Linked DNA regions of Arabidopsis thaliana. The protein of the gene in region 2 interacts with the protein of the main gene of each other region in a pairwise test. Each region holds a gene or a part of one and is shown on either strand. Other genes may lie near its edges.

Region 1 (7,111 bases), 9.8 Mb from region 2:
ATAACAACACAGCCAAGTGGGGCTTTAAGTACAAAGATGTGTGAAAATGAGGAATGCATCAAGTCCCTAGGGAAACTATGTATGGACCGTATGAAAACGTATATTTAAAAAGAAAATCAAGTGAAAGGAAAAGCTTGTACATGACCAATGCATGTCCAAAGGAGATTTGTGGTGAAATATCTTCAATGAGCTTCTAAGAGAAGACAGGTGACATTTATGTATATAAGAAATGGAGTCTCATCATGTTTACTGTTATACAATGAGAATGAGAGATGGTTTAAAAACCTCTTATTTTCATAATTTTCATATATTTGACATTTTAGGGCTTCAACCATGTAAAGAGAATAAAGGGTAATGTACTTTGAGACCTTTTCGATACATGCACTGTGACTTTATCTTTTTAAGATATCCATGTGCTCATGTCAAGTGCCTTACATGCAGTTGAGCAACGATTGGGTTAAGAAATCTTGTTCATTGTGTGTTTTATACGAACGGCTGATAAGTAAACGTAAATGTGAAGGTTTCCCTATATATACGAATTATGATTGGATAGATATATAGATCCTTTAAGTAACATATGTTCTACACTATCTAGACTACTAACTATTTTACACCCAAAAAAGAAGAAGGTCTACACTATTGTGTGGGCCATAGAGCTTGAAGAACATATGTTACTTAAAGGATCATGGTTCGAACTACAACATTTTTAAGTATGATTTGTTATTGTAATTGTTTTACATGAAAATAATATCATACTTTTTCATAAATTCTGAAGATTGGTATGAATTCGACCAAGAATCTCACGGTTGTAAAAAGAGAGAACTTAAACAAAAATTGTATACTATAGTAGTATAGTCACATATTATTAACTATTACAATAGAATGTTTTGCTAATTTTTGTCTGATGTCAACAGAAAATAGATAAGCATGAATATCTAAAAATCACAAAACGTGTTAGATGTAAATATATAATATTGGGTCTAATGCAAATTGGAAGTTGCAATAATATGTTTAGTTTTTTTCTTCAAAAAAAATTTTCTTGACTTTCCTCATCATATATATATATATATATATGAATGCAATTGTGGATCACGAAAGCAACACGACACATCTAAGGCCTAATTTTCAGGCCATTTAACTCAACCCAAAAGCTTCCAGCCCATAAAACTTCAGTACTCTCCTACAATAGGAGCCATTTAACTTGATTGAACTATAAATTGTAAGTTTTCTTTATGTGAAACCTGAAACTGAAATAAACAGAGAAAACAGATGAAAACTTCATTTTCTAAAAGATATATACCAGACACTGTGATTGTTGGTTGCATACTTGAAGGTATAAGGAACAGCTTCCTTACTAACTTTATATGGAACATCAATATTCATTTCTCTACTTTAATATTCAGAACTCAAGTCACAGTCAAACTATCACATTTGCTATCGTTTGTTTTTAGTTCTGATACAAACGAATTCCTAAAAGAAAACAAAGAGACAAATAAAGAACTAGCTCACTTGGGATGAGACCGGTCACTGCTCAAATGGGACTCGCACAAACAGTCGACCATGCAGGCTCACAACCGCTGACGTGTGCAGCGGATCGATTCTTGCGGGAAAGTTCACAACCTACCATAACCAAAATCGGAAAACAATTGACAACTATCCTTCAATTAGCAACTAGGGCTCTGTTTGGAGTGTTAGAATCTAACCTTTTTGAAGGGTGTGATTCCCCAAGGATTGTCAAGTTGCTCAGGTTGGCCTGCTATAACTAGCCGCCCTGCAGGGTCTGACTGAACACGGACCTGAAAGAAGAAATCAACTTATATTGAGGAACTAGATTCTGTGTGCAATCACACAAAAAATTACTATGAAATTCATTACAACGGACAACAGTGTGTGTATTTAGATTCGAATCCAGTATATGTTCACATCTATGTCGTAGGAATCAGTAACACTCCAGTGACAAAACACTGATCAAAGAAGCTTTAGAGATTGAATTCCAAGGAGAAAAGCTCACCTCTTCGCGAAGAAGTCCAGGTACCAGGGCAAATATCTCAAAGCAGTCTTTCTGTAAATAAAGACAACAAAAATAAATTTGGTAAGATTTCAGATTCAAAACAAAAACCCAGATTGCAGTTATTTCCCTTTCTTCAGGCAGTGTTGTTTTTGACTTTTTTTCTTTCTCATGTCTCTAGTTTCAAGAGTTGGGTAAGCGTTGCATTATATGAGGGGGGAAGCGGAAGTGGTACTCACAGTTTCTCTGACATTGATCTTCACCCAGTCTGCAGGGGGTCCAACATCTATAACCTCGGCAGTTGACCTATCAAGCCAAAACCATATTATCAATCTTTTGCTCTGATTATAATAAACGAAATGAAAAGACAAGTTACAAAATTCTCTGTATTCATTTAATCTCCTGCGCTATTTCTGAAATGGCAGTTCTTACAACTACCACCCAGAAAACAGTGCTTGTGATCTACCAAACATTGACAATGCAGGGTTTTTCGATGGATAAGATTGTATGGAATTGCACATGGTAAAGCAATCTTGCATAAGCAACACAAAAATACAGGAGATGATTATCTTTCGTAACTGTTTTTCTGATTCGTGTGAAAAAACAAGGTCCATGCCGGTTGTTGTTTTTTGTTTCTGCACACCTGAAAAGAACATTTATACACGGTGGCATTAGGTAATCATTCTGTAGGTAGTGGAGAACAATAGCCATCGCTTAGGAATATTACCAATGTTTTTGAGGTTCTTTTGCTTTGGGGTTGAATTCAAGCCTTTCTCCTGAAAATATATGTACAAACAGAATCATGTTGAAGCGTAAGTTTGTGCATGGTGAATTATGAAACGTGGTAAGGTCTAAATAGAAACCTTAACAATAGGCTCAGTAACCTCCCCAGATCCAAGAAGGCGCTGAGAATGCCAACCTTGCATAGCACGAGCTGCAGCATCTCTTCTTGTTCTGCCTGACCCTGAAGCTTGATGGCTACTTGCCTACATAAGTGCCCTTATATCAATGAGAGAAAAAGGGAAGGCATATAAAGTTTAAAATTCTGTTTTAGGGAGCTTAAATTGGTAATTAGCTGTGTTGTGTACATATTATTTCTTATGTTTCCCATATAACACAAAACGGTACAGCTTTATTCAATCAGATTGCAGAGAGTAGTATTCAACATGTTAAGCTGATATTACTCATGCCCGAAATTTCCATCTGTATAAAATGATTTTATAAAGAACTGCAGAGCTTTCACTTTATCTAATTTAACAACATGGTTTACCTACTCTTAAATTGACCTCCTCTCAAAGTGTTCACCTACCCAAAAGCATAAGAATTACACAATTTCATAGGAATTCTAACCTCCTTTTCAATGCCTGAAGACGGAAGAGAAGCTGAACCAGGAAGGTTAAGCTCACCATTTTGCCTTAAATGCTTCTCATACTCCAAAAGTGCCTGCGGTTGGAAATAAGGATACAAATAATGAAATTTCCACATCTTGATAGGATAGAAATCAACCAGACTCCATGTTAGGAAGGAGTCAATCCAAATAAACTGTTAGAAGGCTACTAAACCACGACATAAATGATAACGAAACCAGCTAGTCTCAGACACACTACTGACAAAAGGAGCAAAAGAACATTGTCTGAATCGAACATGTATGAACTAAACTGAACAAGTACAACCTCATTAATATCAATGCATATTCAGTACTTAGACCAAAAATGAAATTCACCTTTTCATAGAAAATGCGGAATGTCCAGGAGACTGTAGTGCATGTTCTGAATAACAAAAATGTGGAAAGTCAATTTCATACAAGAAAGCGGAAAAGGTTGAAGATTGAGGACAATACAAGCCATACTTTGGAGGATGGAACGATTCTCCAACTTGCCGCCATAGCTTAGATGTGGTGACCTATATAAGAAAATGAAAATCATAGGAATTTTGAATACCACAGACATAGAGTTTCAAGCAACGTGGGCGGTGGGATAGATTTGAGTATAAACTTTCAAACAGAGTAGATGACACTAAGCAAGTTCAGTTGCCAAAACACAGACCTAACATAATTAACACATAACTGCATTGACTTAATTATTTCCGGAAGCCATTCCTTGTTCTTAAATCATCTTCTCATTCATTAGCTATAGTTCACACGTTATACAACCCAAAACGTATAAATCGCATGACCTGTAGATAATAATCTAAAAGATTTTTAACCTCCTAAAGGGGAAGAGGGAGGAGAAGATCTTAGTAAACATAAAATCATTGGAAGTTCGAAAGTAGATCATTACCACATCGTAGCCACCTAACTTGATAACGGCTCTCCAAAGCCTACATTTCAAAGTAAAGCATGCAGACGTTATCACGTCAAACAAGGCATAACCAAAAGTATGGAATTTTCCAAGAATTAAAGCAACACTTCCAACAACTCACTTGAGACAATTTAAGGGCTGTCCGTAAAACTTTGGGGCTTTAAATTCCAGGAAATTCTCCTTGTTGAAGGCCTCCACTTCTTTAATAAACGCCTCTTGATCCTGTGGTGCCCCTGCTTCATCAACTTCCCTGGCCTGTATAAAAACGTGAACTCGTGATGAAATAGAGCCACTGTGATGACCACAGATCTCACAAAAAACAATATTCAACGCTTAACGCAAATGCAGGCAGACTAGTTGTCTGAAATGTGACAGAAAAGTGCTCTCATCACCTCAGCATCACTCAACAACCATGTCTTCCACTTCTTAACACTTTCTTCAGGAACATGAGGACTCGACGGATCCCCCTTCAAAGGATTTGATTCCCCAAGTGTTGTCTCCTCTTGACCGCCATCACTAGTAATCTTCTTTTCAGACTGATCAACATCACCATTCCTCCCATCAACACTGTTCTGACCACCAACCTCTTCATTAGCCTCAATTTGATTAGCAATGGGAGCATCAGATAAATGAACATCACTATCCAAAGTATGAGTCGTATCCTCTGGAACAGGGGACTTAGGTCTTTCAATAGAGTTTAGGTCTTTCTCTAGTTCTGAAGGCTCCTCTACAACACCTTTGGTACCAGACGGCACATCTTGCTCTTGCATTTCAGTATCCGCCATCATGAAGCTAATTCTCTGAGACATAGCATCACAACAACAACGCAGAATTCAAAATCCAGAAATCATAAATAGAAACGCACTATTGATAATTCCAGAGAGAATGCAAGACGCATGTAATCGAGAATTGGAACGCATCAAAACTCTGAGTCCTACTCTCTCACTGATTCGCTATAATTCAAACAGTGATGGCGACTAAAGCATTAGAAAGCAGAGCTTCACGAAATCATGGAGTACATACATAGAAACAAAAGATACGGTTACCGGTTTCGCCGGAAGAAGAAGACGCCGGAGACGGTGGAGTCGTCGCGGGTTAGGGTTCGATAGCAGCCGGCGAAATGGAAGGACGCCGGCGGAGAAAAAGAAGCGAGAAACGGAAAGATATCAATTAAACGGAGAGATATGCAGATCAAAAGATTTATACGGATGATATAATGAACACATGAATTCATTAAGAAAGAAATTAATGCTTGTTACTTGTATTAACTCTTAACGAAGATCTTAATAGCAAAACTTATTAATGATATTTCAGAAAGTTGGACTTTTACGACCCATTTACATAACAAAGCCCATTATTGTAAACTATGGGCTCAATATGTAAGGTATATTATGAATATAATCTTAGGCCCAATTAAACACGGAAGACAACGTAGGTTTCTGCTTGTCTCGATTGTTGTTGTGTTTTTATTTGTTACTAAAGATAGAGAAAGAAATATCGAAGCATTGTGCGTTCATGTTCAATATAGAGTTTTTGTTGTACCAAAAAAATATAGTGTTTGAATCTTTAATTATAGACTAGCTAGCATATAATTAACGTGATTAACTTTACAATTATGGTGATGATGATTTTCTCAGTATGTAGGTATAGTACTTGTCAAAGTGACAAATAATTGCAATTTAATGAATTGGTGTGGATCCAAAGGATAACAAATAGTATGAGCATATTCATTCGAAGCAAAATGGTACAGAATTAAGCAAAGCTTTTTGTCCAAAATTCTAATGAATTAAGGACCATTATTTTTAGGGAATAATAGTCTTTGATGCCCCACATTTCCAATAGTACAAATCAAGATTTTCAATATATGTCAAGTTTGTTATTTTCATTCACGGACATTAAAACGAGTGGAGCATTTCAATTTGACATATCTTTGTCCTTTTCTTTTTGTTACAGATATCTTTTGTTCACGTTCTTTGAATCATCATATTCATAGCTATGAGATCATAGAAATATCAAATACTGTTAATTAACCTCTTTAAAAATACATATTCACAAGTCTCTTGTGTGAGTAGAAATCCTATACAAACAAGTTTATTCATGCTCTAATAAGATAGATAAATAAGAAGATAGCTCATGACATGGCCTTCATTAGGCTTGTTGCATATACAATAAGCTTACATATAAGGAATTAAGGATGGTCTAATATCTCTTGCTTCACATGAGAAGAGTTATAGGATTCGAGTCACATAAGAGATTTTTATTGTAGTGTGTATAATATATCCCACTTCTACAATTATCCAGTCTATTGTGTATTTTTCATTAATAAATCACTAAAATTTGCACTTTGACAATATATACTTAAATATTTGTATCTCGTATATATATATATACATATTTTTAGCACTGTATGATAATTCTAATTATTCGCTAATTGTTTTTTTTTGGTAAGAATTAGTCGACTATTTTGATATTGGGGTTGTTACATTTATATCTTGCATTGAATTTTATGGACGGACACTGGTCGCAGCCTCACACACTAATTTGAATTTTCCGTTATCATTAATATTCGATCGTTTCGTTGGTACGCTTCCATCACACAATTAATTTAAGCCACCACACTATTATCTTATTCTCATTCAGTTTTGTTTCCATTTCAAATTTCTTACGACGCATATGAAAATGTACATTTTTATAACAATTCCCCTTAAAAATAGATGACAAAAAGAAAAATGTTTTTTTTAAAAAAATATATAAAATAAAATAAATAATAAATCTTCAACAATCGATGAACACTTTGCAATAT
Region 2 (5,703 bases):
TGATAATGGACATGTTAGAGCATTTCAGAAGGACACAACACATTAATATGCGCATTATCGTTTTAGGAATCATATCGTAATACCTTTTTACCTAACGAACCTTTTTGGTTTTAAGCTGATGATTAACACTTGTAACCTTAAGAAGCAAAATTTTACAATATCTTTGTCACGTGTCACTCCCACAACTTAGTGCACCTTCACATGACTGCCTAAAAAGAGCAAAGAAAGAAACAACAAAGACATGGTCCCCAACAATAATCAATGTTGGCAAGATTTTGCCCATCTTTTTTGTTTGGACAAGACTTAAGGACTGTGATGTATATGCTTCGTAGGGTCGATTCATAACATCAAATTAAAAGAAATATTATAGATTTTGTTTCGTTCAAAAACTTTAAGTTTTAATATGTAAACATTTTTAATAATGATAAATTTAATTCTAAAATATAGAGAATATTCCTTGATTTTATACAGATTATCATATGAACAATAGGAACGAAGAAAACGGATAAAGTGGAGCGAATATGTGTGTTCACATAGAACGTCTTAAATGTAGTTTTGGATTCAGCTCTATAACAAAGAAGAATGAGTAAGAAAAAAAAATTTGAAGTTAATGTATGATTCAAGCTTTAATGATTCATTCCAAATATCATGATTGACCATTATGAATGTTTTTAAATTGTAACTTGTAAGATACCATTTTTCCACATGTCAAGGAGATCAACCATTGTAAATAATTTAAATAGTAAAAAATATGACTACCACATCTTCCACAGATCTTGGAGACTACTAAACTTCGATTTTGGATACTTAGATGAAGAAAAAATGAATACAAAAAGTTTAATAACAAACTCTTGAATCGTCGTATCATGTTTCGAGCACCTACTTGATTATCTAAGATAAAAGTTTGTGGATTTATGAAATTATCTTTAAGCTAGCAACTTATCTTAGTTAGTTGGTCTTTTTTACCATTATAGTCATATGTTCAAGATTTATGAAATTGTTGATGATTCTAAGTTTCTAACAAAAGAAAATAAACTAATTACCTGAATTATTCTTGAGTTACAATAAAATAAGCTTCTCATTGTACATCACTTCTCTTCTGCTTTTCTTTTTTTTGGATGTAAGAACATACAATAGCATTGGAGTTCGGACCATTACACAACCTTGCTACTTTCTTCCCTACCAAAAAAAGGTTCCAACTTTACAAAAACCCTTTTCACCACCACCACCAAATTTAGCTTTGTTCATGATCTCTTCTCTACTTTGCTATCTTCGACTTTTCTCCAAAGGCCGAACCGATACTTCTATGCACAACTCCCTCCCTGGCTAGCACTCGCGCATACTCCCACTTCTAGTTTCACGCACTAGAGCATCTACATCTTGCCCGACTCTCTTCGAGCGCCTGACCAAAAATAAAAGTATTCAGTTTCTTACAGAGTGAACAAAGGGATTCAAGAGTGATTAGTATGCAACACTAGTGAGATCATTACCTTCACTTGTTCTTGCAGGTCCTTGATGTATTGAACCGCAAGATCCAACATGTCTGCTGTGTTTGTTTGCTGCATATCAATTGAAGATGATAAATACATTGAGCAAAGAACATGAAAGTACGAATATGAGAGAGGAAGATCGCATAATCTAACCGTGTCCATGTTTGGAACAAGGTCTTGCAGCTTCCTCATTCTTTCACTGATCTTGGTTCTTCTCACCTGTTCCACAACATTTTGGAAACATATATAATCGTTGGAGAAACTGATATTATATCATCATGGAATCAATGCCACTGAGAGCATAATAGTAAGGGGAAAGATTTACCCTCTCGGCTATGCTTCGAGGATGAGTTGCACAACCCCGCTTGGCTCTGATCTTACATGGGATAGAATCTGACAGTAACTGTTCAATATCTGATAAAGACTTGGGCAAACTCATGTGATGTGCCAAAGGAGGACGTCTACTTGCTGAATCCTCATCCTGTTAAATTGAATTTCTTTAGTACAATCAATCAAACAAGAACAATAGCAGAATGAATTTTCAACCGCAAGAAGTTGGTTTCAATGGCAAAACGTCTCTCATTATAAGTTCATACCTTGGTTTTGTATTGATCTAGACCTCCAGATTGGGTCCTAGCAAGAGCTGTAAGCTTGGAAGAAGCAGACCCTTCATTCCCAAAAGAACGATTAAACCCACCGGAAAGCGTCCGAGGAGGCAATCTAGACGAGAAACCGGGTTTAACATCAACCTCAGAGATCGGACTCATCGCTCTAGAAGTAGGAGGAAGTAACTTGCTTCTAGGAGTAAGAGACGAAGCTTCAGTATTGCTTGTACTCATCACATTACTTCCTCCAAAACCTCCCATACTTTTCATTACAGCTGCATAAGCTGCAAAATTTCCAAGAAAAAACAGAACAAAAGATTCAAAAAGACTTCACTTTTCATTCATCACCAAATTTAGTGATTAACAAAGTACTAGTTGCAGATAATATCTGTAATAAATAGCAAATCAATAGAATCCAATCTACAGAGACCAAAACAAGCAAGTTGCTTTAAAATCATTATAGTCCTATCAAAATCCTAAGTATATTCTCATAAAAGTTACCAGAAAAAGTTTCCAGATTAGGAAATAATTTCTAATTAAAACTAGAAAGAAAAGAGTCAAACCTGTTTCAACATCAATGGATGAAAATAATCCGGCCGGTGAACTATTATGACGAGCTAGATTATTCACCGGAGTCCGATCATCTTTCTCTCTTGGTCTCTTATTCCTCGAAACCGAAGCCACATACCCAATCGATACTTCAGGATTCACTGAGATTTCACCATCACCGGAAACAACAACCTCCATCGCCGTCGCCGTCGCAGTCACCGGAATTTCAGCATCTTCGTCCTCTGTTTTAACTTCCGGAGGTTTCTTCTCAGTTCCATCACTGTTAAAAGTATGGTGAAGGAAACTATCAACGTTGTCGCTTGTGTCGGTGGTTTGTAAAAAGCCAGATAAGATTCGCTCAGTTTCAGGACTTGTGGGTCGATCTAAAAACTCTTCGATTGATTCACCGAAACTCGAAAAGTACGAACTTGGTGCTGATTGGTAACGAATCAATCCTGAGTTTCTTGGTCTCTGGTGTTGATGATCGTGGAGAAGGAAGTGATGTTGCTGGAATTCTGATTCCATCTTAGTAGCTTTTGAGTTTCTCTCTTCTTTGGTTATTTTTTTCTCCGTTTGCAGTACCACACCGGAAGTTTCGTTCGCCGGGAGATGAGATTGTTTCCGGCGAGAAATTAAAATTAAAAAAGAGAACGTGAGAGAAACTTATGTGCAAGAGAGAAGAGGAGAGGAAGAAACAACAGAGGGCAGGTAGAGATTGGGATTTATTTGTGATTTGACTAAAATACCCTTTATGGTGTCTTCTTATTACGAGTGGAACCCTTGATGCTGACACGTGTAGGCCACGTGGGGACCACGTTAACATTTTTATAATGTTATGTAACAGTGAAAAATAAATATTGTTTTCGAGAAAAATATTTTGATGTCAATTTTTTTTTTTTCGATGTGATTATTATTTTTTGTAAATTTGGTATACTTCCAATCAGTGTGGCTATTAAATGATTTTTCTCGTTTTTCAAAGAAAAATATCAGCAGCTTTTTTTTAATGTTTTTTGGACTTTATCTTATTTTTAATTTTAATAAATGAATTTTAAAATCAGCAATTATTGAAATGATTCAGAACTTTTAATAAAATAAAACGACGACTATATATAATTGTGGGAATTAAAGCTGTTGACTTATAAAGCAATAAAAATGGCTGAGAAAAAGGACATATGTCGATATGACGTATATTGAAATGACGGATAACTTAAAAAGAAAAACAAACTATAATATTTATTAATAAATTATAAAAAAATAAATAAAATCCAAAAATATAAAAAGAAGAATAAAATGAAATGAAAATAGTTGGAGGATCAGACAGGTGTTGTTGATATGGCAGTCTAGGGCTCCAAATTTTAGGGAACCTTTCAAGCGACTTAATCCAACTATTCACGTTTAAACACGTATGTACCTCCGCATAAAATATAGGACACGTATTGTACTTACGTTTTTGTATAATACTAGTACTTGTTTAAAGTTTAAAGACCAAGTGCTATTTAATCTACAAAATACTGTACATAACAACAACTACTAATACATATCCGAATTCAAATTTCATTATCCACTTCAATTAATATGTCGTATTTGCGTGTTTGATTTGGAAAAACACTTGAGAGTCGAATAGTATTGAACTTTCTTGCTATTCGATGAAATACAAACTGGTTAATAGAAAAAAGATAAATACTTATATAAATATGTGTAGAAAAAATCAGAAATGTGAATATATATGACATGGTAGTGCAATGTAACTTCTTGATTCATCAAAAGTGGACCTTAAAATCAAAGGGGAAAAAAATGTGACCCTAAGCTGCCGCTTATGTGGCTTATGCGGAAGGCCGGCCATGACCAAACCGAATTCAAATCGATAAAGTGCTTATATTCATGTTAAGGGACATAATCAGAGTCGGGCCATAGTTACAATCCATGAAACAAGAGTTTTACACGGCAAATTAATATGACTACATGAGTAATTTTTTTAATCACATATTAATTGAAAAATAATTTTATAATTGGTTGCCCAATTAAGAAGAAAAATATTGTATGAGTAATTTGAGCGTCATTTTAACTAAACGTTATTGTAGTGTAGTAAGAGATTCAATTCCAACCAATGAATTATTTTAATTTTTTTAACAGTTTGTGTTAGTGGATCAAAAAACAAAATATTTATGCAGCAAAATAGTTTGATACCGATTAATGCCTTGGGCGTTAATTATACTTAAAAATATCAAACGCTTGTAATCTATCTGTACTTCAGTTTTAAAAAATTGGTGATATCCTCAAGAAAAAAACAAATTTTGGATTTCTTTCACAAACTAATTAATGAATTCAGGAAGCTGTTATATAGTATTTTTAAAATCCTAAATCAGCAATGAATTTAGCAACTTTTATATTTTTAGATCTGGGTTGTTAACATAGAATAGAAACTGCAGAGCAAAAGCTAAATATAAATTCTAATCGTTTTCTATATTTTGTTTGTAAGGAAACATTTTGGTGTCAAGAAAGTACTCGTTACTTTGGAACAAAGAAAACAATACCCATAAATATAAGATAAGGTTTGAGAATGTGAGAATCGAGGTGGAATACAACAGAAGAAGCACAATCTCACGTGGAACTTAGGCGTGAAGATCCTCTTCCTAGAAATAGTAAGCCACCAATTTAGAATCTTTCTCACTTTCTTATTGTTTATAAAAAAAATGTCTTCAAAAAGTCTTTTTGGTTTTAGCTTTTTTCAGCACATTTAGTCCCTTTTTCTTGAAATCTTAGTATGCATTGATTAATCTATATATGGTTTTAAAATAACAGTTTCAGTTTCATTGAACTATATTCAGGTCAATATCTAGTGTAGTTACAATTGATTAGAAAAGTGCATGCATAATTTTGTTTTAAAAACTTATAATTCAATGAACACATATAATGTACATTCATTTCGACCAAAGTAATAAACTCACTAAACCAACTGAAATGTTAATGAGCTTAGGCTTACTACTTTGTTCTTAACTTAAATATCGAAACCCATTAGCATTATGGGCCTTAATAAGATTCATGGCCCAATGATCTTT

The links. The genes of interacting proteins can lie anywhere in the genome.
Region 1: the proteins of FBH3 (region 2) and AT1G76510 interact in a two-hybrid assay, tested with the Arabidopsis thaliana proteins (one large-scale study listed by BioGRID).

What each region holds. Positions count from the first base shown.
Region 1 is NC_003070.9:28,707,403-28,714,513, forward strand, and holds AT1G76510 (ARID/BRIGHT DNA-binding domain-containing protein), read right to left. Parts: upstream 5,547-7,111; 5' UTR 5,332-5,546; intron 5,109-5,331; 5' UTR 5,097-5,108; coding exon 4,701-5,096; intron 4,564-4,700; coding exon 4,430-4,563; intron 4,328-4,429; coding exon 4,288-4,327; intron 3,911-4,287; coding exon 3,858-3,910; intron 3,778-3,857; coding exon 3,663-3,777; intron 3,452-3,662; coding exon 3,359-3,451; intron 2,995-3,358; coding exon 2,872-2,994; intron 2,785-2,871; coding exon 2,736-2,784; intron 2,652-2,735; coding exon 2,588-2,651; intron 2,315-2,587; coding exon 2,248-2,314; intron 2,063-2,247; coding exon 2,012-2,062; intron 1,797-2,011; coding exon 1,704-1,796; intron 1,621-1,703; coding exon 1,529-1,620; coding exon of another isoform or gene 1,525-1,528; exon of another isoform or gene 1,391-1,524; coding exon 1,279-1,390; 3' UTR 937-1,278; downstream 1-936.
Region 2 is NC_003070.9:18,942,445-18,948,147, forward strand, and holds FBH3 (basic helix-loop-helix (bHLH) DNA-binding superfamily protein), read right to left. Parts: upstream 3,369-5,703; 5' UTR 3,170-3,368; coding exon 2,659-3,169; intron 2,380-2,658; coding exon 2,087-2,379; intron 1,972-2,086; coding exon 1,816-1,971; intron 1,710-1,815; coding exon 1,644-1,709; intron 1,560-1,643; coding exon 1,491-1,559; intron 1,403-1,490; coding exon 1,358-1,402; 3' UTR 1,003-1,357; downstream 1-1,002.